4 linked regions of the Mus musculus genome follow. The protein of the gene in region 1 interacts with the protein of each later gene in a pairwise test. Links are inferred from orthologs where the notes say so. Each region holds a gene or a part of one and is shown in the gene's direction. Other genes may lie near its edges. The genes, in order: Nupr1, Stx18, Knstrn and Ranbp1.

Region 1 (7,964 bases):
ATCAAGAGTAGGAAATTCCCCTTTCCTCCGAGCTCAGCAGCTCTGTGGAAGAGGAGGTGGAAAGATTGTAAGAGCCGGGGAGTGTGGATACCACGAAGGAAACAGTGTCTTCCAGACACAACAGGACTGATTGATACACATATGAACTCAACACGCTGGCAGCCTGCCTGCGCCTGCCCAGGTTCAAGCCACATGGGGTCACAGCACTGAGAGGGGAAAGTGGACATGGACTCCCACCCCTAACCAAATTGACACCTGCTTACAAAGGAAAACTTAGTTTCCTCCAATAGAGTCTCACTGGCTGCATTAACCCCAGGTAAGGGTCAGCCCCATGGCCAGCAGGAGATGCCAACACAACAGTACTTTTATCGGCTTTCTTTTCTCACGGTGTTTTCATCAGACATGTTTTGGTCTTATTGGTCCTTTGTTTACATATTATAGTTTCTGATTTTGTGTTTTTATGGATTTGTGTGTGTGTGTGTTTTGTTAGGACTCAACCCCTGGACAAATGGCTAACTGAAGTGCCTATTAACATATCAGGGCAGATGCTGTCAGCCTGCCTCTCTCAGCATTGCCAGCACCTATTACGGAGCTGTCCTGGCTGGTATACCCCACATGCTACCCTAAACTCTCCCTTCCCACAGTTTCTCTGATTCCTAAATAAGATGACTATGCTAGTATCTTTGCCTTTTTATTACCTCTTGGTCTCTGGGTTCTCAGGTTTTTTTGTTTTTTTGTTTGTTTGTTTTTTGCCTCTTGGCCACTTGGTCCAAGGTTCCTCTGTCGACCCTCCTCTCTTCTCTTCCCCCTGTCTCTTTCTCTCTCTGTCTCCCACAGGCCCTGTTAAGTCTGCTGGCCATGTTCACTCTGGACTCTTGCAGATAGCTCTGCTTGTGCTCTCCCTCATGTCTACACTAAACCTTCTCCACCATACCCAGGAGCCGCATGGCCTCTGCTTTTTAATTTTTTCATTCATATTTCTGACGACGACGACGGTGACAATGATGATTCACCTGTTCGTTTCCTATAGAGTAAAATTTGGGGGCATGGGGAGGGTCTGGGAGGAGTTGGAGAAAAGAAACCTTGATCAGAATACATTGTATGAAAACTTTTTTTAAAATAAAAAAAAAGTAGAAAATTTCATTTCACATGCTTTTTATTTGAACTTAAAATTCATACTAATTCTTATCAAACAACCCAAGGGAAGCTAGTATGGACTGAAAAAGCTTACTATTAGTTCACACTTGATTCATACTGGCTGGGTGTGGTGATGCACACCTTTAAACCTGGCACTCAGGAGTCAAAGGCAGGTTGATCTCTGAGTTCAACACTAGACTCAAATCTGGCCTACAGAGCAAGTTCTTAGCCAGCCACAGCTAAAACAGTGAGACTGCCTAAAAAACAAGGCAGGGGGTATCAAAGCACAAATACCTGTTTATTTCATTCTGCCCTCAATATATTATTTAAATTTTAGAAGTCACACGTATTTATTGTGTGTGTACATGGATAGGAATGTGAGGGTCAGAGGACAATTTATGGGACATTTTTCTCTCCCATACTGTATGGGTCCTGGAAACCGATAAACTCAGGTTGTCAGGCTTGGTGGCAAGTACTTTACCCATTGAGTCATCTTGCCAACACACAATATTTTATTTTAAATTCCTTTTCTCCACCCTTTTTTTTTTTGAGGGGGGAGGGTCAAGGCAAGGGCACTGTATGGGAACCCATGGGAAGTTGTGACTAATCCTTACACTGTTCCCGCTTGTGAAGGTTTTCCAGGCCTCATGAGTCTGCAACCTCTCACCAACAGAGCCAGATAGAGTTATCCTCTGTTAAAGGGGGAACCTGAAGCAATCAGAGAGGGAAAGTGACGTGTCCAAGGTCACACAGCAGGAAACACTGGATCTGAGCTGACTTGTGATCCCAGCATTTAGGATGAGGAGGCCAGAGAATTGCAAGTTCAAGGGCTAACCTGGGCTCCATAGAAGGATTCTGTCAGAAAGAAAGGTAGAGGGAGGTGGATCAGGAATCAGAGTGTGGAATCCAGGGTATTTGCTGTCTCTACCAGCTAGCTATCCTCCATCTTGCATGAGGAAGAAGTCCCTGGGGACTCTGTTGAAGGGGACTTTTCACAAAAATAGAAGCCTTGGGTGTGACAGGAACTGCTGACCAAGCAAGAAGTGGGTCAGTGTCCCTCCTCCCTCCCTTTTCAGTATGTATGCTGCCACTACCTCCTGAATCTGAACCAGACTACAGTGTGTGTGTGTGTGTGTGTGTGTGTGTGTGTGTGTGTGTCTGTCTGTCTGTCTGTCTGTCTGTCTAACTATGACCCAGGCCCAGGAGGGGCTTGTGGCAGAGGCTGAAATGATAGGAAGGACTGGCCTATCTGAGGCCCTCTGCTCTCCCTGGCCAATATCCCAAAGACTGTGCCCAGATCCTGTCTGCTTCCTCCGCCCCTGAGGCGAGAGCTTTCCACGTGGAAAAACACAGCTGTGCTTGGGTGAGTCCTGTGAGGGAGGAGGGAGGGGAGGGTGCTCCTCTCTGCTCAGGACTGCTGTCTATGGGCCCAGTTCTGGGAAAGGGCCAGATTGCATCAGACAGGGCTTGGAGGGCGGGGGCCAACCCCGTGGTTTAGGGAGGAGACAGCGTTATAAGTAGGGTGAGAAACTGGGAGAGGGCAGACATTCAGACAAGGAGACACAGGCAAGACTTTGGAGAGAGCAGACTAGGCATAATGGCCACCTTGCCACCAACAGCCAACCCTTCCCAGCAACCTCTAAACCTAGAGGATGAAGATGGAATCCTGGATGAATATGATCAGTACAGCCTGGCCCATCCCTGTGTCGGTAAGGTTTTCGTGGTAGCTCCTTGGTCAGCCCATCTGCTTCTCACTGGGTACCCCGGTTTACCTTTCCTAGCTAATCTATTCCCAACTCCCAAGTAACCCCTTCTAGTCTCATCTACTGAGTTCTGTCTCCCTTAGCCCCAAGAACTCACAAGTGAGCATCTCTCATTCTATACTTGAGTAAACAGCAAGGATAGAGTGCTTCAGACGTGAAGACGTGACCGCCCCACTCTGGCCATTTATATGCCTGTCCTAACCTCACACACCTCCTCTACCTCCTGCTCCACCAGTCGGGGGAGGTCGGAAAGGTCGGACCAAGAGAGAAGCTGCTGCCAATACCAACCGCCCTAGCCCTGGCGGGCATGAGAGGAAGCTGCTGACCAAGTTCCAGAACTCTGAAAGGAAAAAAGCCTGGCGCTGAGACGGAGCTGGAGGTGAGTCGGGAGAGCCGGGCCTAAGTGTGCCGAGCGGGAAGCGGGGAGCCAAAAGCTGGTCCTGGTGAGATGGCGCTGCAGGTAGAGGCTCTTGCAGGCAAGCAGGACAACCTGTGCTTGATCTCTGGGACTCGAGTGATGAAAGGGGAGAGAACCAACTGCAAGCTGTGTTCCCAGGGAGCCCTGCAGATAGATGTCCAGGCAGGGAAGTGATAAGAATGAAAACCCCATTCAGACCGAATTCCATCAGCTTGGATCAGATTTCAGGGCATCTAACGCCAGGCGGTTCACTGTCAGCATATTTAAAACACAGTACAATTTGGGAAGAGGTTTCTAGGCAACAGTCAGGTCCATCAGTTCAATTCCAGGAGCACAATAAAGCTTGAGGTGTGACTACACTGAAACTCCATGAGGGTGGGTTCTAGAGCTAAAGGCCTAGAATCTAGAGTGGTCTCTGACCAATAGCATGGAGGTCATCAGGCAGATGTGACATCTCTCCTAAGAGTGGGTAATGGTCTAGGGAGGGGAGAGTCTGGGATTATCATTCTGGAGAACTTGAGTGAGGTCGGCTTCTATAGCAAAAGCTGGGGAGGTCTGACTCCACACAGAGCCAAAAGCTCACCAGGTTGTTAACAAAATCCACTCTCAGATTTCTGAGTGGAATGCAGGTATTTGACTTTATCTCCTGCATTGAGGAGACACACGGCATGATTAAAACTTCTGGTTCTTAGTGCTTCTCTTGAGTACAAGGACCTCTGTGCCCCCAATGTCCACCGACTTCCATATGCTCAAAGTAGCACACGAGAATACGCATGTGCGCACATGCATGCAAACACATTGGCATATCAATAAATGAAAAAAATAGTGTTGGCCGGACAGTGGTGGCACACGCCTTTAATCCCAGCACTTGGGAGGCAGAGGCAGATGGATTTCTGAGTTCAAGGACAGCCTGGTCTAAGAAGTGAGTTCCAGGACAGCCAGGGCTATACAGAGAAACCTGTCTCGAAAAAACAAAATACAAAAAACAAAAACCAAAACCAAAACAAAACAAAACAATAGTGTTGTGACACTATTTTTATTCTACATCTAAAATAATATGAGACCCGTATTTGACTGAGCTCCCTGGTAACCAGAGGTGGGGGGAGTTCCCATGGAGCCTTTCCAATGGAGAGGAAGTTTGGTTTATGGAAAGGGAAACTGAGGCAGATAGAGTCAAGTACTTCTCTAAGGTAATAGCAAATATGAGTAGGAAAGGTGGAAGTCAAACTCTGATCTCTGTCCCTTTCGTTGCCTGCTTTCCCTCTGCACAGATAAGGCCAGACCACAGACACCACACCCAGCAATGGATACAGGACATCACACCCAGCAATGGATACAGGACATCACACCCAGCAATGGATACAGGACCTTGGAGAAATTAGGAGTTGTAAGCAGGACCTAGGCCTGCTTGATTCTTTCCCACCTAAGTGAGGTTCTGGAGAGGGAGCCCTTCCACCCTTCCAGACCCAGCAAAAGGGCAAGATGGGAGCAAGAAGCAGAGGGTAGACGGGCAGAGCTAGGAAGACAGCCCCCAAAAGAACTGTGGGGGAAATAAATCGGATGCCCTTGGGTGGCAGCAACAATAAATCGTACAGCAGTGACAGCTTTGGCGTGTGTTGTGTGCCTTTGTTTTGTTTGGGTGTGTTGTGTCTGGCTGTGTCCATTGTGTGTCTCTCTAGGAGGCTGATCTGGAAAGGGAGCGTCCTTATTGCGTAGCATATGGGCTTGAACGGTTCTCCGTGATTGTTGCCTTGTTCTAATGTATGCAGATGCTTTGAGGAGCCTGTTTCTATGGTTTCTTCCAGGGAAGTTGCTTTGTTTCTTTGCAGTGCTGTCCCAGAGACAACCTGTGGCCAGTCCCCTACATATTCTTGAGCACCATGAGGTCCTATTATATAGAGCTGCTTTTGGAAGAGAATGTTTCTGTTAATACCATTTGCAAAATGAAAAAAAAAAAAAAAACCCCAGCATCCATGATTTAAAACATGCAGAGGATTTGTTTTAAGCAACCGAGGGCTCAAATTCAGTCATGAAATACCAGGCTGGCTTCCAGGATGGGGTGCTTGGTGAGCTGGTGAGAAAGCTCTCCCTAAGCATGGTGGGCCGATGGGTCTCAGGACCAGAATTCCAGGCAAATGTGAAGCAAATGAGAAGATGGTTGAACCAAGTGTAGAGTGGCCTGAGGTCTGAGTTTGGAATGTTGCAATTTTACTCAGACGAAACAATGTTCTTTCTCACACACAAGTTCTATGAGTAAATACTCCTAAGTAACACAGGTGGCAAGTCCATTTTCTTGAGGCTGGTCTCAAACTCCTGAACTCAAGTGGCCCTCTAAGCCTCAAATTCTAGGCACCCGTATCACCACTCCCACTTAGCCTATTCGTTCTTAAAAAGAATTATTTATTCATTTTCTGTATATGAGTACCTGGTAGCTGTCTTCAGACACACCAGAAGAGGGCATCAGATCCCATTACAGATGATTGTGAGCCACCATGTAGTTGCTGGGAGTTGAACTCAGGACCTCTGAAAAGCAGTCAATGCTCTTAACCGCTGAGCCATCTCTCCAGCTCAACCCTATTTATTTTTAAGGATACCATTTGATAGTAGAACGCATAGCACCTGCTCACAGTTTAGTCACATGCTTGAAGAGAGAGGCCGGGGAATGCCATTCTTGGCTGCCAGCCATTTGCTAACCCAAGCTGAGGTGAGGGCAGAGTTTTATTAGAGGAAGAAGATGGAGCATACTGGAAGAAATAAGCAGAAACATTACTCAACACTCAGACTCAGCCAAAGTGGGAGGAAAGAGCCCTTGCTCTAGCTCTGGGCTGAGCCTTTGTCCCTTCTCACTAACCCAGCTTGTAGAGCCTGGAGCCCATTGCACTTAGATGGAACCGGAAGCTAGGGTACTTACGGAATCAGTGGCCTCACAGCAGGCTGTGGGTCAGCTGCAACTCTCAGGGACATATCCAGCCACCTCCTGTGCAGCTGGGAACATTAGGACAATTTCTGGTCTGGCTGGGCATGGTAGCTCACATCCGTAGTCCCAGCATTCGGAAGACAGAGGCAGGCAGAGTTTATGAGTTTGAAGCCAGCCTAGTTTATGTAGTTCCAGGCCAGCCAGGACTCATAGCGACACCCTATCTAGAGAAGGGGGTTGGGGGCGGAGGGAGGGAGTAAAAGCTGCTTCTGGTCCTATCTCAGTACTCCAGGCCAACCAGGACTCAAAGTGACACCCAATAAATCAAGCAACCAAGCAAGCTTTTGGTCCTATCTCAGTGTTCTCAGGAATGTCTGGTTTCCTTAGTGCCAAGAAGAACAAGAAGAATAGGACTGGCTTCCTTGAAGGCTGTCCAATTCTACCTCAGGGCAACTGCTTTCTGTGGACTACCAGCCAACCACCTGCTCTGGAAGGTTCTGCTTCTCTGTTCAGGATGCCCGTGACGCCACCCAACCTGCAAGGCTGAGTCAAAGGCCTTGTCTTCAGCATTCCTCTGCTGGGCCCTCTCCCCTCCTTCTGTTGATCTCTCCTCTGGAATGCCACACCAGCTAACAGGCTCACGGATATTTCTTTTGGCAGGTGGTTTTGTGGAAATTGTCCTGGTGGCAATGGAGTGGGCCTTTTATTTTTAAATAGGATCTCACTCTGTAGCCTTGTCTGTGCAGGAATTCTGTAGACAAGTCAGGCCTTGAACTCATAGAGATCTGCCTGCCTCTGCCTCTCTTGAATGCTGATATTAAAAGTGTGAGCCACCCTACCTAGCCCAAATCATTCATTGCTTTGACATCTGTTAGTTGCTTGTTATTTTACCAGGGCAGGGCCGAAGCACAGACTTTGTAGAGAGGGACACATGGTACAGCTTTTAGCTTTAGAACCTAAAACAGCACCACCTCTGGGCAGCATGCTTGCAGCAGTATACATCTGGGTGTCCGGCTTCAGAAATGACAGCGCCCATATTTTGGGTGCCTGCCCTAGGACAGACAGGTGTGTTCATTTGTTTGTAGCGTTTGTTTTCTGCGGGGCATCAAACACAGGGTTACATGCTAAGATGACAGTCTGACCGTGGCATCTGTACCTGCCCTGCAATAGGATTTTACAGTTATGTCTCCATTTAATCTTTATAGTAACCCAATAGGACACACTACTAGTGTTCCTGTTTTTCCAAACAGAAATCTAAGGCCCAGAGATTTGCAAGTTCATACTAGACCACATATAGTAAGTTACATTGTATTTCATGGCTCATTTAGAGACACGCAGACTCAATCAATACCACATGAGACTCTGAGCTCAGGTTTTCCAACCTCTGACCTTTTCCCCTTTGATGGTGTGCCCAAGAAACACGGGGTTCTGGGCAATGAGCAACCCTAGATTGTAGATCTTCTAAGGATGGGTTCGAAAACAACCTTCCTTCCGTCAGACAGAAAATTAAGGTCAAGAACACCCGTCCTCAGTGTCAATGGCCAGTCCTAGCTGCTGGACCCTTGAGCACCTGCTTCTTAGGAGATGAACACGCCACCACTTACTCTTAACCTTTGATTGACAGCCCTCTGCCTCACCTGTCTCTGGCACAGCCTCTGTGCCAGGAACTGTTACAGCAATTCTTAGAACCTCGGAGATCTCAGATCAGGAAGGACCCTGGGCAGAATGT
Region 2 (7,463 bases), on another chromosome or scaffold:
ATTAAGCCCTATACTGGCGATTTAGTTCATTCTTTTAAACAAAGAAGCTGTTTCTAGGTGGTGCAGAATGGCTACGGGATGTTGTTTGCATGTGCAATCGCTGTCCAGGTGTAAGTCATGGTACAGGTGGATGGGACCTTAAGTCGGCAGAGGTTTTTGGCAGGCTCCGTGAAGCCCAGTTGTTTCCTAATGTCAGACGTCAAGATTGCTGTCCTTTAGAACCCACATTACTCTTATGTGCCCCATTCATTTACTCAAGCAGAGTCACCTTTATTTATTGATGTGTTCATTGAGGTAACTTTGAAGACACTACTATGGCCTTTCTTAAGCCTGTATACAGTGAGTCTGTAGCAGGTGTCCCCAGAGGTAGCTCATGGCACCCAGGCAGCCAGCTGGCACGCTTTCATCCTGAGGCCCAGCACAATTCATATATCAAGAACTTAGGTGTTGGGAGAGTCTGAGTCCTCACTTTTCTTCTCTGGACAACTTGAAATAGGAACACTTCATCCTGCCTTATTTTTTACTGAAAGGCCTTGACAATAGTGTCTTTCTTTGTAAAACTTAGCAAAGAGGGGTAAATTGAAAACAGGATTTCTATAGAAAGATATTACTAATGGACTTGTGTCTTTTAAACTAGAAGCCCTTTTTAGACTAGAAGCCCTTCACAGAGGGAAAGTCTAGTTGACCACTAAGAGGCAGATAGTAAAGGGAGCTATTGCTTAGCATACTGTGCTTGCACCATGGCTGCCTTGAGTACTTCCACTTGGGTTATGTTACTTAGCCTCATCCAGGAGGGAGTATTGCAGCCTCCACTATGTGGTGAGCCATAGACACCTACCTGTTCAGGGACACCTGAATCTCAAGTTGTATCTCTGGGCATGTAGACATCCTGCTGTGGTGTTGATGACAGAGACCAAGGCTTTGGTTCAGCCCTGTGCCTGGCCTGGCCAAGTCCCTACTTATGTGAGGAGGCAACATGGCTGCACAGTCAGACTGACCCTAGAAGGGACTGCCTGTACATATTCCAGAGCCTGACAGAGTGAGACAGCAACGGGCTACAGCTGCTCCATTGAATCTGAGGTGAAAGGGACCTCCATGCATCTCCCCCCTTACCTTAACAACCTGTCTGGAGTTTGTCTCCCAGAGAGTACTCAAGTAGACAACATACGTGTCTTAACGACCTCACTGCCTAAGTCCTACTCTTCCCATTTTGGTGACAAAGGCAGAAGGACAGAAGGGTTGGATTACTCACCAAAGACATACAGATTCAAAGGTGAAGGGGATGGGATTCCAACTGCAACTTCATACCTCAGGGTCAAGGAAGGGCAAGGTTCACAGCTGTCTACAAAGAAACTGATAGCCATCAAAAGGTTGCCGACAGCCGGGCGTGGTGGCACACACCTTTAATCCCAGCACTCAGGAGGCAGAGGCAGGCGGATTTCTGAGTTCGAGGACAGCCAGGGCTATACAGAGAAACCCTGTCTCGAAAAACCAAAAAGAAAAAAGAAAAAGGTTGCCGACCAGCTAGGACCACCTAACCATTTTCATGAGCTCTCATACCTGGCTTCCATACCATGAGGTATGTGGCCAACATGGCAACCCCTGCTACCCAAACTTCGGGGCAGGTTTGCCAGTGAATGTCCATCAGAAAACACAGGCATTTACATTACAGTTCTTAACAGTAGCAACATTTGCTATGAAGTAGCACCCCTTACCACATGGGATGGTGTGTGGCATCAGTCCCTTGAAAGGCTGGGTATTTCTGAGATGACATACAGAACTCCAGGGTCAGGGAAGCCTGTGCCTTTGCCTGACTGCTGGAGCCACTGTGATACTTTCTGAAGTGTCAGTTGCTAGGGCTTAGAAAGGCCCCGCAGCCCCGGATCTCATGCCTGGGCTGGAGGAAGCCAGAGGGCTTTGTTTGCAGGCAGCATCCAGTAGTAAGTCACCTAGACTGATAGTTAATCGTTTGTAAGGACAGTTTCAAAGCATCGAAAGACAAGATTTAAAAGGGCAGGTCCATATTTTATCATTAGGGGAAAAAGAAAGAAAGGAAATGCTTCGCTGGAAAACAAACTTGAGCATACCTGAGGGAGTTGGTGCATGTAAATCAGCACCTACAACTGAAGTAATTACACATGCGCAAGGAATACTGGCCTCCTAAGTCACTGCTGAGCAGACAGTTAACAGCTGAAGCCTTCAGACTCAAAGTGAAGGTTTTATTCTCTTACCTGGTCTCTGTGATGCCTAATGGAAAGAGCCATTAGCAATACTGTCTCCACAGTCTGCAAGGCAGCTGCTATGACTCAAGTGGTGCTAGGAACCACCCATCCTCCTCCTCCCATTTTCTGATCTGATGAGTCTAGGGTAGAATGAAGCCTCTGTTCTGATGGCCGGGTAGCAGGGTTTGTGCAGGGCTTAAGGACTAAAGATGGCTCTGCCTCTCAAGAGAAGCTGGTCCCTGAACAAGTTAAGAAATATCACAGTGAAGCTGCATGCAGGGAAGACCCAGAGAAAGTGCCTCCATCTGCTCTAGGGCCAGGCCTTAACATGGCACCTGTGCTGGAGTCCCCAGCCAGGCAGAAGAGATGGGGGAATGTGGCATACACCTGTGTCCTGTGGAAGTGGCTGAGGCTGCCGTCAGAGGTGAACATTGGCTGGATCACAGATGATAATATGTACCTGAGGCCTCTTCTGCTGGGCCAGGTAGCTCCAACAGGGAAGCAGTGCACTGTTGTCATAGGCAGTGGGGTACTGAGCCCAACACGAGGAGCCATGTATTACCTGAGTTCTTTTCAGAGCATTCTGCTCAGGATCTAGACTGTACTCCACAGAAGGAAAACTAGGACAAGCCAGTATGAAGCAGGTGTGGAGCTTACTCTAAAAGGGCAGTGGGGCTACCTCTAGGCAGTGGGCAGCCCTGGTGCTGTCACACAAGGCCCTGGGAGGTCAAAGGTCTGTCCCTGTCACAGGCCAAGGAGCCTGCCAGCCTCTGCCCCTCAGTCTTCCCCACACCAAGTTCTCTGTCTAAAATGCTGCACCTGGAGATAGGCGGCAGCCGTGGAATCAAAGCGGAGTGTGTCTGAAGCCGCAGAGGCAGCTTCCTCTGCTCAGCAGTTAGTCTGAGTGTCAGCTGCTCCTGAGTTCAGACCCAGGAGGACTCTGAAGTCAGCGTAGCACAGTTGGTCTTTGGACTGGCAAGCATTTTCCTCCCAGAGTACAGTATTTTTCAGACAATCTGCTGGCAATACCCTGTGCTGGCCGACGGGACTGGGCAGGGATCCTTAGAAGGTGGGTGGAAGGTCAAAGGTTCCTTGTTGCCCCTTTCTTGAGTCCCATCTGATATCATTCTGAGTGTGTGTGCTTCTTTGCAGTTTGAACAAGAAAATCAGCGACTCATTGGTGAAATGAACAGCTTGTTTGACGAAGTGAGGTATGTATGTAGCTAGTAGCTTGATGACAGTTTTCCCAGATACTGGGGGCTCTTTCCAATTGCTTTGGCATCCAGGCACCCACGTGTAACAGGGCAGGGCCGGCTGAGCCTGTGGGAGGAGCCTGGCTGCTACAGTAAGCTTGTGGGTGCTGCAGCATGCAGAAAGCACACACTAAAGACAGTCTGTCCCAAACGCAGAACCATAGCACTAGCACGGGGCTGCTTGGGTGGAGTGGCTGTAAATGCAGTGGGGGCCTTGTGAAGGAGTCCTGCTTCCAGGTGACCAGGCTCACACCCACTTGCCAGTGAACTGCAAGCGCCCGTGTTCCACAGGAGCGTGGCAGTGCTGTGGAAGCAACAGCTGAGTCTTTGCAGGACCCCATTCCATTCAGAGTGTGGCCCTTCCCGGCCTGGGACTTACTCAGGGTAGGGGTACTCCCTGGGACAGCCCCAGGGTTATTTTGTCCCAGAGGTGGCTCTCTCGGGCCTCTTCTGCCCATCCACTTGCTGTTCTTCTCCATGCCCTGGTACTGCTCCTTCCATGTCTCCTGTCTGCCCTTCCCATATTTTCTAGAGGGAATCCCTCGCCACTCACACCTTTCTCCTGCCCCTGACCCAGCTGTGCTGGAGTAGGGAAGGTCAGTCTGAGCCAGCTTCCACTCTCAGCCCCTCAGCCCCAGCCTGCCCCATGGTGGAAAGGCTCAGCCAGTGTTTCAGGTTGGGCAAGCACATGATTGCTAAACCAGACGTGGTGATCACAGACTGTACTGCAGCATTGTCTTGCCATAGGGAGCTGGCTTGAGAGAGAAATAATACTTTTTTTTAAAGATGGGCTTTCAAAGTAACCATGCCTTTGCTTCTCCAGCATGTATCACAAGGTAACTAGGCTATGCAGAGGACCTACCATGCCTGCCCAGCTCCTCCTCCTGTCTGGCATGGCTGCCCTTCCTCTTTTGCTATCACTTTAATGTTTCCTTCAGAAAAGTGTACCATTCATCTTAGATTACCAGGAGCTAACAGCTAACATGTCACCTGTCCATTCTTTTTTTGAAGGCAAATCGAAGGGAAAGTCGTTGAAATTTCCAGACTCCAAGAGATATTCACCGAAAAGGTTTTGCAACAGGTAAAAGGATCCAGAGCCCAGCAGTTTTGAGTCTTGACTTAGGACTGACAGAGAGCTTGGAGCCCTCTTCCAGAAGCCTCTGAGTGATGCCGACTAGACAGCACCATGTTCTGTTAGCTAGTCACATCACTCAGAGCACCCTGACCTAGCTTCCATCAGCCCGCAGCAACCCTCTGGGGCACAGCTGAGGAGCAGAGTGGCCCCTGTGAGCTAGAGCATCCAGTGGTACTAGGAAGGTGCAATCCCTCCACACCATCCCCCACCCCCATCTGTAGAAAGGGATGAGACCACAGGGCTGCTGTTGTGTTCACAGGTGAGCACAGAAGCACTCTGCACGGTGCAGAATGGAGAGCTGCTTTTCAACCCACTGTGCTCCAGAAATTAGGGACAGCCTCTCAGCCAGCCCCTGCTGCTCCTGGAGCACAGCTGAGAGGGGGAAGATTGCTCCCCGGTGAGCTTAGGACTAAAACATACCTTCCTCTTCTCTCCGGGACGTTGGCTCACTCACAGCTGCCTGAACCTCACAGCAGAGTTGAGTCAGCATGGATGAGGTAGAAGCTAACAACATTTGGGAGTACACGGTCATAAGAATAAGATTCACAGGTATCTTTTTTAAAAGAAAAAAAAAAAGATTTATTTATTTTATTTATATGGGTACACTGTAGCTGACTTCAGAAACAACAGAAGAGGGCACCAGATCCCATTACAGATGGTTGTGAGCCACCATGTGGTTGCTGGGAATTGAACTCAGAACCTCTGGAAGAAAAGTCAGTGCTCTTAACTGCCAAGCCATTTCTCCAGCCCTCTTCATAAGTATCTTAAAGATCTACCCAAGCCACGTGTGTGAAGGCCATGAACCCTGGAGACAGACTTTGTGCAGACCCTTGGCCTAATGGCCATGTCAGCTGCATGACAGAGGAAGCCATCAAAGCAAGTGAGCTGGCACCGCAGCTCACTTTGGGGAGAGTCACTTTGTCTAAAGCATAAAGCTTTCAGGGTGACCAGGTTGCACTGTGGATACTCCACCCTGTGCACTGTGGCCAGTACTTCTCCTCAGCCCCATTATCTGAAGTACAGCTAGTGCTCCAGGCCTCTCTCTCAGAGCCAGCAAGTAGTACCACTGACCTATCTGGCCCATGGCAGGCCTTTCGGTGGGACTCTGACCAAGCCAGGTAGTGCCCTGCTGTAGTAACACCACATATGCCACCATGAATATGTTCTCTACATGGTAATCCAGTGACATACCCTGGCTAGCCATACAGCAAAGGGAATCACAGTCTTTTAGGCTCCAAGGTCTAGAGGCTGCACCCACACAGCCTGGGAATCGTCACCAGAGAGGTGGGCATCACCCAACACAAAGAGAGGGAAATTTATGGCTCAGAGATATCTACTAGCTTACAGAGGGTCACATACTGTCTGAGTGGCAGGACTAGGATAAGGCTCTTGTCAGGTTGTACAGCTCACACTATCTCCTATCTCTCCTGTGTCACTCACCAAGTGACAAGGACAAATATGAACTGCTGATACTGGCCTCTCCTCTAGCATTGTTTATTCTTTATAAGGTCTAGAAGCCAGCTTCATGATGTTACAGGCTTTGAAACACATTAGCCATACAAGCAGCGTGGTTTTTTTAAATTTATTTTTTATTAGATATTTTCTTTATATACATTTCAAATGCTATCCTGAAAGTTCCCTATACCCTCCCTCCATCCTGCTCCCCTACCCACCCACTCCTGCTTCTTGGCCCTGGCATTCCCCTGTACCGGGGCATATAAAGTTCAAGCAGCATGTTTTAACACATTGCTAAATGGGTAAGAGTTAGAACAAGACTTGAATTGCTGGCCACAAATGCCCTGTGTAGATGCTGAGAACTTGGAAGTAGCGGGTGCTGGTCTCCATTCATGAGACAATGCTATTGGAGACCCTACCATACCAGCCATGTGGTACTGTTTTTAGTCTTCCTGTCGGGGGTGGAGAGAGGGGGACATGCTCTAATGTGCCCACATTTAGGGAGCCCGTCCTGGTATAATGCTATAGAATGGAAGGCAGGCTTCAGTCATTCAGTTCCCAGTGGAGACATCACTGGAGTGCACATGGCACATGGGCCAGGGCATGTGGGTAGTGACACACTGCAGAGATCATCAGAGCAGGAGCTGAGGAGTTTGCCATAAACAGCCTGCAGCACTGACATAAGCCTGATTCTCAAGGCCTCACAGTTCAAGGGGCCCATTGTTATTAGACGCGTTCTCACGACCGGCCAGGAAGAACACCACAGACCAGAATCTTCTGCGGCAAAGCTTTATTTCTTACATCTTCAGGAGCAAGAGTGTAAGAAGCAAGAGAGCAAGAAGCAAGAGAGAGAGAAAACGAAACCCCGTCCCTCTTAAGGAGAATTCTCCTTCGCCTAGGACGTGTCACTCCCTGATTGGCTGCAGCCCATCGGCCGAGTTGACGTCACGGGGAAGGCAGAGCACATGGAGTGAAGAACCACCCTCGGCACATGCGCAGATTATTTGTTTACCACTTAGAACACAGCTGTCAGCGCCATCTTGTAACGGCGAATGTGGGCGCGGCTCCCAACATCTCCCCCTTTCCTTTTAATAAGAGCAAATAGGCCACCCATATTAATGAGAGTGGAGATAGAGGTCAAATCCCCAGTGTGTAGGTAAAGGAGCCATGTACAGGATTAGCTCTTAGGCTCACAGGCTTTTACCCAGAGCAACCCTGACCTGCTCCCGTGTCGTTTTGCCTGGGGGAAGGGAACTAGGACACTGAACCTTCATGAAAGATGACATGTCTCCCTAGAATAGGCTCATATATGCCGCAGAGCCTTTCCATTGCAGTGCTTAGCCGTGCAACTCTCTCGGGCTGCTGAAGCACACTCACTCTATCCCGTGCAATGAGTCT
Region 3 (6,818 bases), on another chromosome or scaffold:
AGGGTATGCTTTGCCTAAGTGTGCACACGTACAGACTGCGACAGTGTCCACGGAGGTTAGAGCTGGGTTACAGGCAGTTGTGAGCTGCCGTGTTAGGCACTGCAAACTGAACCTGGGTCAGCTTTGCAGGAGCAGCCACTGAACTGCTGAGCCACCTCTCTGGTTTATCCTTCCTTCCTCTTTTCTTTTTCTCTGTCCCAGAGATCCAGCCCCAGGATGATCCTCTTCATGGAGATTATAGACGTGAGCCACCATGCTTGGCTTGCTTTTTAGTTACTTATTTTTTTAACATTTATTTTTACTTCTGTGTCTCTGTGAATGTATGTCACGTATGCGCAGGTACCCATGGGAGACATAAGATGGCTTCAGACCCCTTAGAGCTAGAGTTATAGACATTGGTAAGGTACCTGCCATGGGTACTAAAAACTGAGCTTTAGTCGTCGGAAGGAGCAAGGGATAGTCAACTGCAAAGAGATCTCCAGTTCCCCTGCTTTCCTATTACAGTTCAGTGTGAATGTATGTGGGTGCATAGTGCGTCCATGCCCCAGTGCATGGGGCTCACACTCCGGTTATTAGGCTTGGTGGCAGGCACCTTTACCCTTGAAGCGATTTCACCTGCCCCCATCCCCCCCATCCTTGCTTGGATCATGTTTGGCTTTGTGTGTGTGTGTGTGTGTGTGTGTGTGTGTGTGTGTGTGTGTGTGTGTGTGAGAGAGAGAGACTGCCCCTGCCTCCGAGAACTGCAGAGCTGAGAGCCAACCCACTCCCTACCGTGGTTGCAGCTCTGGGAATACAAACCCCCAAGTCAGTTGTACCTCCTGAGGGCTGGGCTTCTGGAGAGTTGCCAGGAGTGGCCCTCACCCTGTTATGGCTTTGCTCCTTGGGGGGAAAGGGACGGCTCCTACAGTCCTGAGTTGGGGACAAAGATGGAGAAGGGGGGGACATCAAATGGCCAGGGCTCCCTGCCCCGGTAGGGCTGACTCAGGTCAGCAGCCACGGAGCAACAAGGATCAACTCTCTAGGGATATAACAAATAACACACTCCTAAATCAGACTAGGTCAAGGCTCAACTCCCTCCTTCCATTCTGGAGGAGTCCAAGACAGAGACTACACTCCAGTCTGGGCTCCCTGCAAGCAGCCCATCAGAGCTCGCCACGATTGACGTCCCAATCGATGGACCCATTCACATAGCTGGGCAAAAAGGATGGAAGGCAAGGGTCTGCCTAGGGTTGAGGTCAGGGTGGGAACAGGGCCGGGGCGCCCAGCAGGGACAACAACAGCTGGTACGACTTGGGGTAAGGTGGGTAAGTCCCACATGTGCCATAGAAGGCAGCCCATAGCACCAGGCCCAGTATACTTGTTTGTTTTTAATGAACTATTTTGAAATAATTTTAGATTTATAGAAGAGTTACATATCTAATATAGAAAATTCAGTTTCCCTAGGATAATACCTCATGCTGTCCTCACTGGCATGCCATTGGTAACTAAAGTCCCAGACTTAGTACTGAATCCATTTTTTTTTTTAAGATGCTTTTCTTCCACAAATTCTTTCTGTGTTCCCGAGGACCCTAGAAAGGTTCCTGGGGATAAAACCATTGCAAGGCCCAGGGGAGCAAAGTCTCCACACCTCCCATGGGCCACACCGCAGTATGCTCAGAGAGCTGAGACTGAAATCCATGCTAAAAAGCTCTTCTCAGGAGACCTGGGTGAACTGTCCAGATTGTAGGGCTAGAGGGTTGAGAGTGCTTGCTGCTCCTGCAAAGGTCCCAAGTTCTACACTCTGCAGCTCATGCCTTCATAACTCCAGCTCTAGGGATCTGATGCCCTTTTGTTTCTCTCCTCTCCATGGATATCCAAGGGTATACACACACACACACACGCACACACACACACACACACACACACACACACACACACACACACACAATTACCAAGAAAAGAAAATGTAAGAGCCAGGCACGGTAGCACACACCTTCTATTACAGAGGCAGCAGGGGTCTTCGTACGTTTGAAGCCTGGTCCACATGGTGAGATTCTTGGACGCCTTCCGATTGCCAGACAAATGGTGGGGCAGGAGACACAAACGGTTTCATTGTTCCAGTTTAAATACAGAGTAGGGAAATTCCCCGAGCCAGCACAGATAAATTTTAAGGTGGGAAATAAGATGCTGTCTGGTACTGGGGTCGCCCCCCTCTATGTAGCACGGGTATAACGGTCTGGTCCGGGTGCTGTCTTTGTTGTAAGAGTTGTGTTATGGGTTTCCCTCTGGGATGATTTCCCTTTCAGGCCTTGAAGGTGAAGTTGAAGCTGAAAGAAGAGGAGAGTGTCCAGTTCCTGGAACAGCAGACCTTATGTAAGGACGAAGCCAGTGACTTCACAATAATCCTAGAGGAAATGGAGCAGCTCTTAGAAATGTAGCTCAAGGCAGGTGGCCGGACGGCTTCTTCCTGGATAAACCCTCGGCAGAGGCTACTTAGGATATCTTCAAGGACTCACCATCCCTTAGGTAAAGACCTTCTGCAGCAGTTGATCCGATAAGGCCAGTTGATGCTGGGGTTCCTCCTTTAAGCAGATTGCCCCACCTTCAGATGGCTCAGCTCTCCTGCAAGAGAGGAACCTGGGAGTTTGACTCCATTTCCTGTGCAGCAGAGAGAGCAGCAGCCCTTAGAACTAGGATACTAAACCAGCTGCCTTGGAGACTCTAGAGACTCGGAAACATGGGAAGAAGGCCCACACCACAACAGCACGAGTGCTGTGCGAGAGATGTGACTGTGAGCCATGCTGTCCCCTTGTCTCTCTGGTTGAGTTAAGTTTTATGAACTTGAAATTCTTGAAGTTTTTTTGGCTTAATAAATGGGGGTGGAGGTATACAAAGTAGCACCTACCTAAAACTACAACTAGAGCTTTGGAAATAAATGTTTCTATGAATATTAATATTCTGACTAACACTAGGGAATGAAAGTAGCCTCTTTAACCCAGTGTGGTGGCTCATATCTATAACAATCATAGGACTTGGGAGGCTGAGGCAGGAGAATTGTCTTGAGTTAGAGGATAGCCTAGGCTGCAGAAATACTGTCTCAGAAAAGCAAGGAAGATGTTGGGGATTAGGAAATTGCCACACAAACCATATGTACACCAATCTCAGTTAAGCAAGAATAGTTTAGTGAACGCACATCATAATATGGAAGTCCGGGTCCACGAGAAGGAAAAGCTCAACTGTGGCACCAGTCTGCTCTCGGAGTAGGCTTTCTATAGGAAAAACCAGGTTTAAAGGTCAAGGAGAGGAGCAGCTGGCTTACTAGGTAAAGTATTGTTAGCCAACCTTTAAGCCAATTGGTCCTGAGTGAGGTAAGAAAGATGGTGGTCAGGCGGTGAACAAGGGAATTTCAGAACACTGAGATAACTAGGAACAAGTGATTTAATCACGTTGTTTTTGCTTGTTAGTAGCATTTTTCAGTGTCAGTTACACTAATCACTATGACCTTAATTTCACCTTGTGACTAACATTGAGCCTGAATACAAATGGCTACAGTTGTGTTAAAAGGAACAGGCCTCAACATGAGGAGGAGGAGGAGGTAGGATTAAGCGGTGTTTGGTCTGGATCTGTGAGTTGAGCATACTGGCATAAGTCCAAGGTACTGTGACTGCCTTTCCCTCCATCCGCTCCGTGCCTGTGACAAGGCCTCCTGCCTTCCAGGATTGTCAGTTCTTCCACATTCGTAGCTGTGTGTGCCATGCTCTATTCACCGTGTTGGTGGCCAGATGCCTGTGTTCTGTCTGTATGTCTGCAGCTTGTCTGTCAGAGCCAACCTAGAGCCTGGTGCAACAGGCCCTCCCCATTGGGATCACCAAAATGCAGCCATGTTCTCCCCCTTAGCTGAAACACAGCAGCCTTTGCTTTGGCCATTCCCATTGCTTTTGAGCTTTCTGTTTTCTTTACCAAACTTGCCTAATGTCTCCTTCAAAATCACTAAGACTGACCAGAGTCCCGATCCCCAACGAAGCTGAGTAATGTCCCATACTTAACTTTTTCTTTCTTTCTTTACTTTTTCAAATGTATAAAATGGTTTATAAGGTTTATAAGGTACAACTAAAGACCATCGCACAGCAGGTGAAGCATACCTACTTTATATAGGTTCACCATACACAGAATGGGACTCCAGGAAGAGTCCTATAGAACACTGCATTCTGGCTTCCTGTGTGATCCACATCTGCTCCTTTGACGTGTGATTCTTCGAAGATGAAGTCCTAGCAGAAGTCATATGAGGGAGTTCACAGTCTCATGGAGTGCACTGCGCTGCTGCTGTCCATGCACGCAGTGGACTGAAGGACACTAGCTATAGGATCCACACGGGAGCAGGTGTCCCACCATCATGGAGCTGTCTTATGTGTCATAGTCCATTCTTATATATCTATCAAAACGTATACTGAACAATGACTTCTGGGTTGCAAAAGATTTTAACCTGCCTTCCATGCCTTTGTATACACACACACACACACTACCTGTGCCAACTTTAAAGGGCTAAAATTGCTAAACAATCTCATATTGTTGATTATGTCATAAAGAGTATAAATATTCCCTCAGCATCCCTCTCTCTGCCCAGATCTGCCTTCCACTTCTTGCCCAGCTATTGCCTGTCAGCTCTTTATTAGAACCAGTTAGATACAATTCTAGATTGCCTTAGGCATGTGAGGAAGAATTACAAAATAGGAGACAGGTGATGGGTCACAGACATAACAATACTAAGATGCTGCCAGCATTTAGCTCTGCTCATACAGGCTGGCCTCAAACTCAAAGATCCTCCTGCCTCTGCCTGGGATTAAAGGTGTGCAGCACCATACCTGGTCTCACTCTTATTCTTCAATTAACATACAAAATAATGACCTCACTTTGATATTTTCATGTATCTCACATTTTAAATTTTGTGATATATATCCAAATCCAATTCTATTTTGCATAAAATGGGATGAATCCAACCAGTCAACATGTGACTTAGACCATGTGGAAAGGGACTCACCAAACCTGTAAGAACACACAGGCATTATTTCTCTTAAGCTTAACTGACTCTGCTTTTCCACTGCACTGGTTTTAGAAGTTACACATATCCATTGGTGTCTTATCTCTGTCACAGAACATAGAGGGCAGAGTAGGTTGGTCAAAACAAACTCCTAGAAGGTTTTCTGCTTTCCATTCTTCCAGCCAGAGATCTGTGAATGTGCAGGAATCACACTGGCCCCAACTATCATCCCTCATAAGTAAATCAACCTGGCGTCAACACAGGGTAAAGCTGCAAGGGACGTGCTTTACTGAGACCTGCTACCCGCCAGCTACAGCACTTGTAGCCCAGTACTCTGCCGCCTTATAGCCCAGGCTTTCCCACTGGGTTTTTCCAGCTTTGCCTCCAGCCACAGTCCTGACTGAGCATGCCCACTGCCTTCCCCTGTGTGTATATCACTTTGGCGCTTACACTCAGATTAAACCATCTTTAAAATGACACTTCAAAAGACTTCTCATGGACTTTCAGGGCTTGAGGGGTGGGAGAGATGAAAGTATTCACTGGTAAAGTATGTGTTCAGTATGCACAAGGCCCTGGAATCGATCCCCAGCAACCCACACACCGTTTTCCCTTATAAACCCAAATGAAACCTCTGATGAAAAAAGGAAAGATGCAGGAGGCCAGGCTAGGGATGTAGTTTAGTTGGTAAAATTCTTAATAACATACATGAAGCCCCAGGTTCAATCCCAAACATTGCATAAAATCAGGCTTAGTAGTGAGATCATGCCTGCCGCTAATCAATCCCAGGAGCTGGAGGCAGGAGGACTGAGAGTTCAAGATCCTGCTCAGCAGGGCTGGAGATGACACGGCAGTGAAGAGACCTCTTTCAGAAGACCAGTGTTTACCTCCAGCATCTGTCACACCAGTTCCGGGGATCCAATGACCTCTTAGCTTCTGAGGAAACACACACAAATAATAAACTTTTGAAAAAAAAAATTCACCCTCAACTACAGAGCAGGAGTACAGTGTCAGGGTTTTGTTTTGTGGTTTTAAGGGGAACAGAATTACAGGAGGCCATTGTTTCAAAACTATCTGAAAAGCCAGGTTAAAAATAGAGACTGCCCCACCCAGGGATCCATCCCATTAAACAAACACCAAATCCAGACACTGTTGCATATGTCAACAAGATTTGGTGACAGGACCCTGATATAGCTCTCTTTTGTGAGGCTGTGCCAGTGCCTGGCAAATACAGAAGTGGATGCTCACAGTCATCTATTGGATGGAACACAGGGCCCCTAATGGAGGAGCTAGAGAAAGTACTCAAGGAGCTGAAGGGGTCTGCAACCCTATAGGAGAACAACAATATGAACTAACCAGTACCCCCCAGAGCTGTGTCTCTAGCTGCATATGTAGCCAAGGATGGCCTAGTTGGCCATCAATGGGAGGAGAGGCCCTTGGTCTTGCAAAGATTATATGCCCCAGTGCAGGGGAATGCCAGGGCCAGGAAGCAAGAGTGGGTGGGTTGGAGAGCAGGGCGGGGTGGGGTATAGAGGACTTTCAGAGAGGAAACTAGGAAAGAGGATAGCATTTGAAATGTAAATGAAGAAAATAATAATAAAAACCAAACGAGAATCAAAGTCACCAAGGTGAAACTAAAATGTCTACCTGCTCTTACCGATCTGAATTAAAGTGGAAACAGCCAAAAATCTCCCAGACTTGCCTACTTGATAAAAAGTTTTGTCTTAATCCTTAACACAAAAGGAGTTAACAGGAAGCTAGCTTTCCTGCAGCAAGCAGTTGCTTTCCTACTGTTCCTTATCTC
Region 4 (7,071 bases), on another chromosome or scaffold:
GAGCTTACATAGCTAGTGAGGTATCTGTCCAGGGCAGGTATCTGTTCAAACTCTCATTTCTCCAGAGATAGTCTGGTTCAGATGGGCAGCAGAGGAAGGCACAGCGTCATGTTTGGAAAACAGCCCCGAAGGTTTTTAAGATTGATTGATTGATTGATTTATTTAGTGAGTACGCCGTAGCTGTCTTCAGACACACCAGAAGAGGGCATCTAATCTCATTATGGATGGTTGTGAGCCACCATGTGGTTGCTGGGATTTGAACTCAGGACCTCTGGAAGAGCAGTCAATGCTCTTAACCACTGAGCCATCTCTCCAGCCCCATAGCTAGTGATTTTTATCTGCTGAACACATTTTTTCTTTCCTTTGTGTGTGCATGCGCCATGGCCATAGCAGCCAGGTGGGGGGGCTTGTAGGAGCCGGTTCTCCTCTCACCTTGTGGTTATAGGGATGGCAATGATGAGGCCTGTAGAGTGCCTTTACTGAGACAGTCTACAGACTGCCTTTCTACAGGCTACACTTTCTAGCCCATCAGGATCTTTTGTCCTGGTTACATAGGCAGATGATAGGTAAGATCAGGGTATAGGACTTAGTAGGTGGTTTGCTGAGGCAGGGGCATGAGAGCGATCTTTGCCCTCCCTGTCACACAGTTGCCTCAGTCTCCTCTCAGTCCCAATTTGGAGCAGTCTCTGGGGTGGGGGGAAGGAATCAAGTGCTCCCAAAGCCTGGCTAGCAAGCAGACCCTGCAGTCCTCCTGTCTCTCCTCGTCTCATGCACCCCATAGGTTGTGGGTCAAAGTTGGCCATTGATTAGTCACTGTTCTGTGGCTGTGATGAGACACCATGACCACAGATACTCATAAAAGGCATTTAATTGGTGTCTGGCTTACAGTTTTAGAGGGTTAGTCCATTATCATCATGGAAGGAAGCAGATAGGCACGGTCCTGGAGCTTTACATCCTGATCTATAGGCAGCAGTTGGAAAGAGACCCTGGGCCTGTGGCATCAGCTTTTGAAATGCAGAGCCCACCCGAGTGACACTCTTCTTTCAACAAAGCCACACCTACTCCAACTAGGCTGCTCCTAATCCTTTCAAAAGGTTCTACCTAGAGCCAAGCAAGCCATTCTGAGCCTCTGAAGGACATTCTCATTCAAACCACAGGCATCAAGTGAGGTATGGGGAAAGTAAGACTGTGGATAGTGTACGGTTCCTAAGACCACTGTTAGGCTGGTGTAGCTCAGATCTCTTGAGTTCCAACTTTAGCTGTCATGTGTGGTCAGAGGGCCTCTCTGAAATCCTAGAAATACTGCCAAGGGTACAGGGACCAGTGGCTGGGCATATATACCAGTAAGTGACATTCTAGAGGATCAGACTATCAGTGGAGGACAGCTATCTGTCAGTGCTTAGCTCTCCCTTGGTTCTGTATAGGACCTGAGGAATTCAGAATAAATATGTCTTGAGTCATGACTTATTTTCCATGACACACTCGTGTTTGTCATAGGATTCTGGTACCCATTGCTTGTGTTCTTCCTGGACTATAGCAGGCTAAATAGTAATGTGGTGATTGCCCTGCTTTCAGCCTCTGTTCCCAGCTTTCAGTCAGCCAGGTTCGTGCTGGTGTGGGCATGTGTTTGTAGCCATCTGTTGGTCACCCTAGGAAAGTTTGAGCTGGAGTAGCTACCCTTAAAACGTCAGCAGACAGCCTGTGCTTCAGGGTCTTGAGCTTGCTCCACATAAAGATTGTTCTGGTTTTAAGCAGATGTGGTTTGCGTCAGGTGTAGAGTTGTGTAGGCCTGCATTTTAAAATTCCTCTCCGGGAGTGGAGTAGCTACATTTCTTTTAAGATTCTAATGACAAGTCAAGGTGTGATGCCACCAAACTGTATTCTGGGAACTAATGAGTTTATTGGACTTTCTTAAAGAACAAAGGTGAGGGGTTATTCATAGGGGTATTGGTGCTCCTTACCCCATCAGGCTGTACTTGGAAAGCTTTGACTTAGCAGGGATGATGGCTCCTCAATAGGTAAAGCCCCTCCCACTCCCTTAGTCTTTCCCAACCTAATTCTTTAGCCCCTCCTGGAGGAGAGCACATGCAATTAGGGCAGAATTGCACACAACCAGTGATAGGATACTCAGGTGGGGTCTCTGACCCCTTCTGAACTTGAGGGGATATAAACAGTCAAGCCCAGCTGGGATAATTTGCAAGTGGGCATAGTAGAGTACTTCAGTATCATGGTTGCTTGGCTCAGGGTAGTCAGGTACAACAGCCTGGATCTCAGATTTTAGACTCCATGTTGGCTGAAGTGGGTTCCTTCTCTTGGTGAGCAGGTTGGTGCGGGCTGGGTGGTTTGGCCATTGTCCTCACAGGCTTCTCTACCCTAGTTACACCAATGATGGAGCTGAAGCCGAATGCTGGCAGTGACCGAGCCTGGGTCTGGAATACCCACGCCGACTTTGCTGACGAGTGCCCCAAGCCTGAGCTGCTCGCCATCCGCTTCCTAAATGCTGAGAGTAAGCAGAACTTGCCCGCCCAACTGTGGGTCGCCTGCTGGGCAGCTGATGTTAGCCCAAAGCATGCAGAGCCTCTGAAATTCTAGGGGTCTGTATAAACAGTTGTTGCATCCAGTTGACTCCCATCAGGTGTGTGGAACCAGAGACACACCCTAGAGTTTCCTCCTGCTGCTGCTTCTGCTTGGTTTCTGGTTCCTCAAGACTGGGACACTGGTGTCCCCTACGGACGCTTAGGCACCTGTACCAGCAAAGACTGCAGAGATCTGCAAGCCCTGGCTAATCTCTCTTCCATGGGGGAATCTTTCTAGTCTGAATTGCCACAAAGCTGTGCCCTGGGGATCATGGAGAGTCAGCAGGTACCATGGCAAATGCCCTAGTGGCTGGTACTCTTGTGAAAGTGAGCCTTGCCCTTGGACTTGGAATATAATGTGTATCTGGTAGCCCTTCCAACATGAGTAGAGCCTATAGTAAGAAGAGCTTTGACCCTTGATTGTCTGATTGTGATAGACAGATAGCTGAGCAGAGTTGATGGCCTCAGGAGGGACTCAACTGCAGTCATTAAATAGTCAGAAATTGTCACTGGGGTTGTGCATGGTTAATCCCAGCGCTTAGGAAGCAGAGGAAGATGGACATCTTGAGTTCCAGGACAGCCAGGGATATGAAGCAGGATCCCATCTAGAAAAAAATGCCACTGAGGACCATGAATTGACTGACGCTTCAGAATTTTAGGATATTGCCAGTCTACTTTGAGAACTTTCAGACATTAGTCCCTTCTCTTTTTACAGATGCACAAAAGTTCAAAACAAAGTTTGAAGAATGCAGGAAAGAAATTGAAGAGAGAGAAAAGAAAGGTGATGTGGTGCCCGGGAGTGATGAGGGTGGGTGGGTTGTGGGGCTTCTTTGCAGATTCACTCTGCACCTGGCTGCAGCTCCAGTCTGGTGCTTTTTCCATCTGCCAAAGAAACAGTCCAGAATGCTGTGGCTTCCTCTGCCTATCAGAGGCAGTGCAGCTGCCTGGGGACACAGCCTGATGCCTTCCTTGTAGGCTTTGGCCTCACATCGGCCTCTTAGCATTTGTGGTCAGTTTCAGGTACTGAGCTGAGTTACAGCTCTTTGGAACTCAACAGCAGTGAAAGGGCTTTTAAGATATAGTCCTCGTGCCAGGTGTGGTGGCGCACACCTTTAATCCCAGCACTCGGGAGGCAGAGGCAGGTGGATTTCTGAGTTTGAGGCCAGCCTGGTCTACAGAGTGAGTTCCAGGACAGCCAGGGCTGCACAGAGAAACCCTGTCTCGAAAAATGAAACAAACAAACAAACAAAAAGATAGATTTCTCATTTTCTCAACAAATTGTTTTCTGTTCTTCTGGGACAGATGGGGCCTGGGTTAGTAAGTGACCACACATCACCAGCAGCTTGCTGGACCCATCTGGGGAGAGTGGTGGGTGATGCTTGGGGAACAGGTCGGGCCTCTGCACTAGGTAAGTGCCAAGAGCAGTGTAGTCTCACAGCCGGACTTCTCTGTTGTCTTACTGCAATTGCCTGTTTTTGCAGGACCAGGCAAAAATGATAATGCCGAAAAGGTGGCCGAGAAGCTGGAAGCCCTTTCAGTGAGGGAGGCCAGAGAGGAGGCTGAAGAGAAGTCTGAGGAGAAACAATGAATCACTCTGTCTTTTTCCTTTCCTTTTCTTTTTAAAAATTTGCCCTACCCTTTAAGGTTTGTTTTTCTGTTTTGTTTTTACAAGGGACTTTATAAAGAACTGAATTCCAATTTTCAGGTTGTTTTTTTGTTTTGTTTTTTTTTTAACTTTTTTTTCCTCCAAGTTTTGACACCATTGAACATGACTTCAGAAATCCATTCCCCAGTCATGAAAATGTACTGTGCTAACTTTCTTTTCCATAGTGGAAACACTTATTTATAGTCATCAAAAATAGTGAATAAAAAATGCCTTTGAAAACCTGGACCAGCTGACAAGGCTATGTGAGGGGTGGGGAAGGTGTCTATGCCTGGAGCCCTCCTTGGCCACCTGTCTACCAGCCTGATTTTCTCCTAGGAGAAAACCAGTTTGTCAAAATGGTGTGTCCTTCTGTGGCTCTTAGGGACCAGATACTACGGTACCGGCTGGTGCTGGAGGCCACAGTGTGTGTGGCTGCAACTGGCATTCAGGGCCAAGGTGGGCTGCTTCCTTGCTGCTAGAACTATTGCTTTGTGCTTTTGTATAGGGTCTGTGTGTGTGTGAGAGAGAAAGAGAGGTGAAGGGAGACTATTATGTGCTTTCATCTTGGTGAAGGGAGGTGGTAGGTAGCTAAACATCTGGCTATAGGAAAAACTGGTTTTGATTGGCTCTGGTTAATAGAGCAGCTCCAAGCTCAGTGGAGGGAAAGGCCACCATGGTACTGTGCCATAGTGTAACTGAGTCTAGCCCTACACTCTCCTATTGGAAGCCATTAGGTGCCCCAATACATCTTCAAATAGCACTCTAGGAGTTTGGACCTTGAATTCTAAACTCAGCACCATTAGGATTAGGGACTACTTGAATAAAACCTGCCTTATGTGGGGCTAGAGAAATGGCTCATCAGTTATGAACGCTTACTGCTTTTGTAGAGGATGAGTTCAGTTTTAAGCTCACAATTGCCTGAAGCCCCAGAGAATTAGACACTCTCTTTCTAGGCAAATCAAATGATAATGCACATACTTACAGACAGGCAAAAGAAAGCCCTGACCTGACTGACTCATTGTGGGCTCAGGAGCTTCAGCAGCCCCACCTCACAGGGCAAGACCCATGGTGGGGTCTGAGTGCATTAACAGGACCTGCTCTTGCTTTGTAGCAGACTGCCAGTAACACCTACCAGAGTCTGGATATTTATCTGTTGATGCTCGCCTTATTAAACTGACCCTGTTAAGTCTGACCTTGTCCTTTGCAGGGTGTGCTTACAAATGCCTGCCTGCCTGCCTTTCTCCTTTCCCCTCCCCTTTTCTCTCCTCCCTCCATCTTTCTCCTTTCTTCTCTTTTTTTATTTTTGTTTTTTGTTTGTTTTTTTTTTTTTTTTATTTTGAGACAGGGTTTCTCTGTGTAGCTCTGTCTGTACTTGAACTCCCTCTGTAGACCAGGCAGGCCTCAAACTCAGAACATCTGCCCAATGGGATTAAAGGTGTGTGCCACTACAGTCCAGTTTAAAGCTTTAAAGAAATTTAAGCTAGCATTCAAAGTCAGCTTTCATGGTGACATTACCATATAGACATGTACTTTATCATACTCACACCTCCCTCGTTGCCCATTCCTGCAAAAGCACCTTTTCATTCCCCAAGCTGCTCTCTAAAGCCAACTAAAGGCTGTTTCTTGGTTTTCTCCATCCCAGGAAGAGATATGTGTATGTAGTGGGGCCTGATGTAGTAGAATTGAGACATTGGCTACAGGTGGCCTTGGAAGAACTGTCCACGGGCCCTGGACTGAGGATTCAGGTTCAAGTACCCTTTACCTTGTAGTAACAGGCAAATGAACCTTTGAGTGGGGTAAATGCCCTTAGGGAGAGGACTTTATAAGTAGGACGTCTCTTCCTATGACCAGTGTTTGGCATTTCTCCCCATGTATCTGCAATAGAGGAGGATGGCTGTGATGGCTCTCATGGCATAAATCCTGGACTCAGACCCAGAAGGTTTCCTTCTATTCTGCAAATACAAACTGGCTAAGGGACACTGCTGTCCTGTGCTCAGGTTGTATTCTGATGTACATTCAAGGAAGTGGTTCATACTATAGATGGTGTAGCCAAGGAAGACATGCATTGCTTCAAGTCTTGAGTGCCCCATTGACAATAGTTTGGAGGAAGGACATCAACAGGTAACTAGCCTGGTATTATATCCTGACGCAGAGACTGAGCCAAGTAGGGTGGAGTCTTAACAGGTTTTAAGACTGTAAGAAACAGATGTAGTGAGCGTGGTGGTGCACGCCTTTAATCCCAGCACTCGGGAGGCAGAGGCAGGTGGATTTCTGAGTTTGAGGCCAGCCTGTTCTACAAAGTGAGTTCCAGGACAGCCAGGGCTATACAGAGAAACCCTGTCTCGAAAAACCAAAAAAAAAAAAAAAAGAAGAAGAAGAAGAAGAAAAGATAAAAGAAACAGATATATCTTATCCATGGGGGCATTCCAAGACTCCCAGTAGATGCTGTAAACTTAAGGGGGTGCCAAGCCCTGTGTGTTACTGTGCATACACACCTGTGGCAAGTTTGGAAGTTGACATAGTGGAAGGTTCAGAGTAATGAAGCCAGATACACTGCAATAGAATCAGGGATATTGTACCTTACTATAGGGCTTAGCAACCTCAGCACAGGTTCCTAAGTTCGCTTCACAGGGCCTCTGGCATCACTACTGCTGCACTTTGGGGATACTGAGACAAGAAAGCTACAGCGTGTCAAATGAGGAAATAGGGAAGCTGAGGAGTTCACACCCAAGGCTGATGAGAGCAGCATAGTATAGTTATTAAATGGTTAGTGTGAGATAGCCTCATAGCCCAGGCTGGTGGCCCTGAACTGGCTGTGTAGCTGAGGATAACCTTGAATTTAAGATCCTT

Evidence for each region.
Region 2: the proteins of Nupr1 (region 1) and Stx18 interact in a two-hybrid assay, tested with the Homo sapiens proteins (2 studies listed by BioGRID and IntAct). The link is inferred for Mus musculus from reciprocal best matches to the Homo sapiens genes NUPR1 and STX18.
Region 3: the proteins of Nupr1 (region 1) and Knstrn interact in a two-hybrid assay, tested with the Homo sapiens proteins (2 studies listed by BioGRID and IntAct). The link is inferred for Mus musculus from reciprocal best matches to the Homo sapiens genes NUPR1 and KNSTRN.
Region 4: the proteins of Nupr1 (region 1) and Ranbp1 interact in a two-hybrid assay, tested with the Homo sapiens proteins (2 studies listed by BioGRID and IntAct). The link is inferred for Mus musculus from reciprocal best matches to the Homo sapiens genes NUPR1 and RANBP1.

What each region holds. Positions count from the first base shown.
Region 1 is NC_000073.6:126,620,205-126,628,168, reverse strand, and holds Nupr1 (nuclear protein 1), read left to right. Parts: upstream 1-2,698; 5' UTR 2,699-2,734; coding exon 2,735-2,846; intron 2,847-3,135; coding exon 3,136-3,266; 3' UTR 3,267-3,279; intron 3,280-4,589; 3' UTR 4,590-4,923; downstream 4,924-7,964. UniProt on the Homo sapiens protein: Transcription regulator that converts stress signals into a program of gene expression that empowers cells with resistance to the stress induced by a change in their microenvironment.
Region 2 is NC_000071.6:38,123,558-38,131,020, forward strand, and holds part of Stx18 (syntaxin-18), read left to right. Parts: intron 1-3,374; coding exon 3,375-3,433; intron 3,434-4,486; coding exon 4,487-4,556; intron 4,557-7,463. UniProt on the Homo sapiens protein: Syntaxin that may be involved in targeting and fusion of Golgi-derived retrograde transport vesicles with the ER.
Region 3 is NC_000068.7:118,831,715-118,838,532, forward strand, and holds the end of Knstrn (small kinetochore-associated protein), read left to right. Parts: intron 1-2; coding exon of another isoform or gene 3-83; exon of another isoform or gene 84-254; intron 255-2,285; coding exon 2,286-2,417; 3' UTR 2,418-4,498; downstream 4,499-6,818. UniProt on the Homo sapiens protein: Essential component of the mitotic spindle required for faithful chromosome segregation and progression into anaphase.
Region 4 is NC_000082.6:18,237,180-18,244,250, reverse strand, and holds the end of Ranbp1 (ran-specific GTPase-activating protein), read left to right. Parts: intron 1-2,377; coding exon 2,378-2,506; intron 2,507-3,291; coding exon 3,292-3,357; intron 3,358-3,408; exon of another isoform or gene 3,409-3,534; intron 3,535-4,057; coding exon 4,058-4,164; 3' UTR 4,165-4,272; downstream 4,273-7,071. UniProt on the Homo sapiens protein: Plays a role in RAN-dependent nucleocytoplasmic transport. Alleviates the TNPO1-dependent inhibition of RAN GTPase activity and mediates the dissociation of RAN from proteins involved in transport into the nucleus.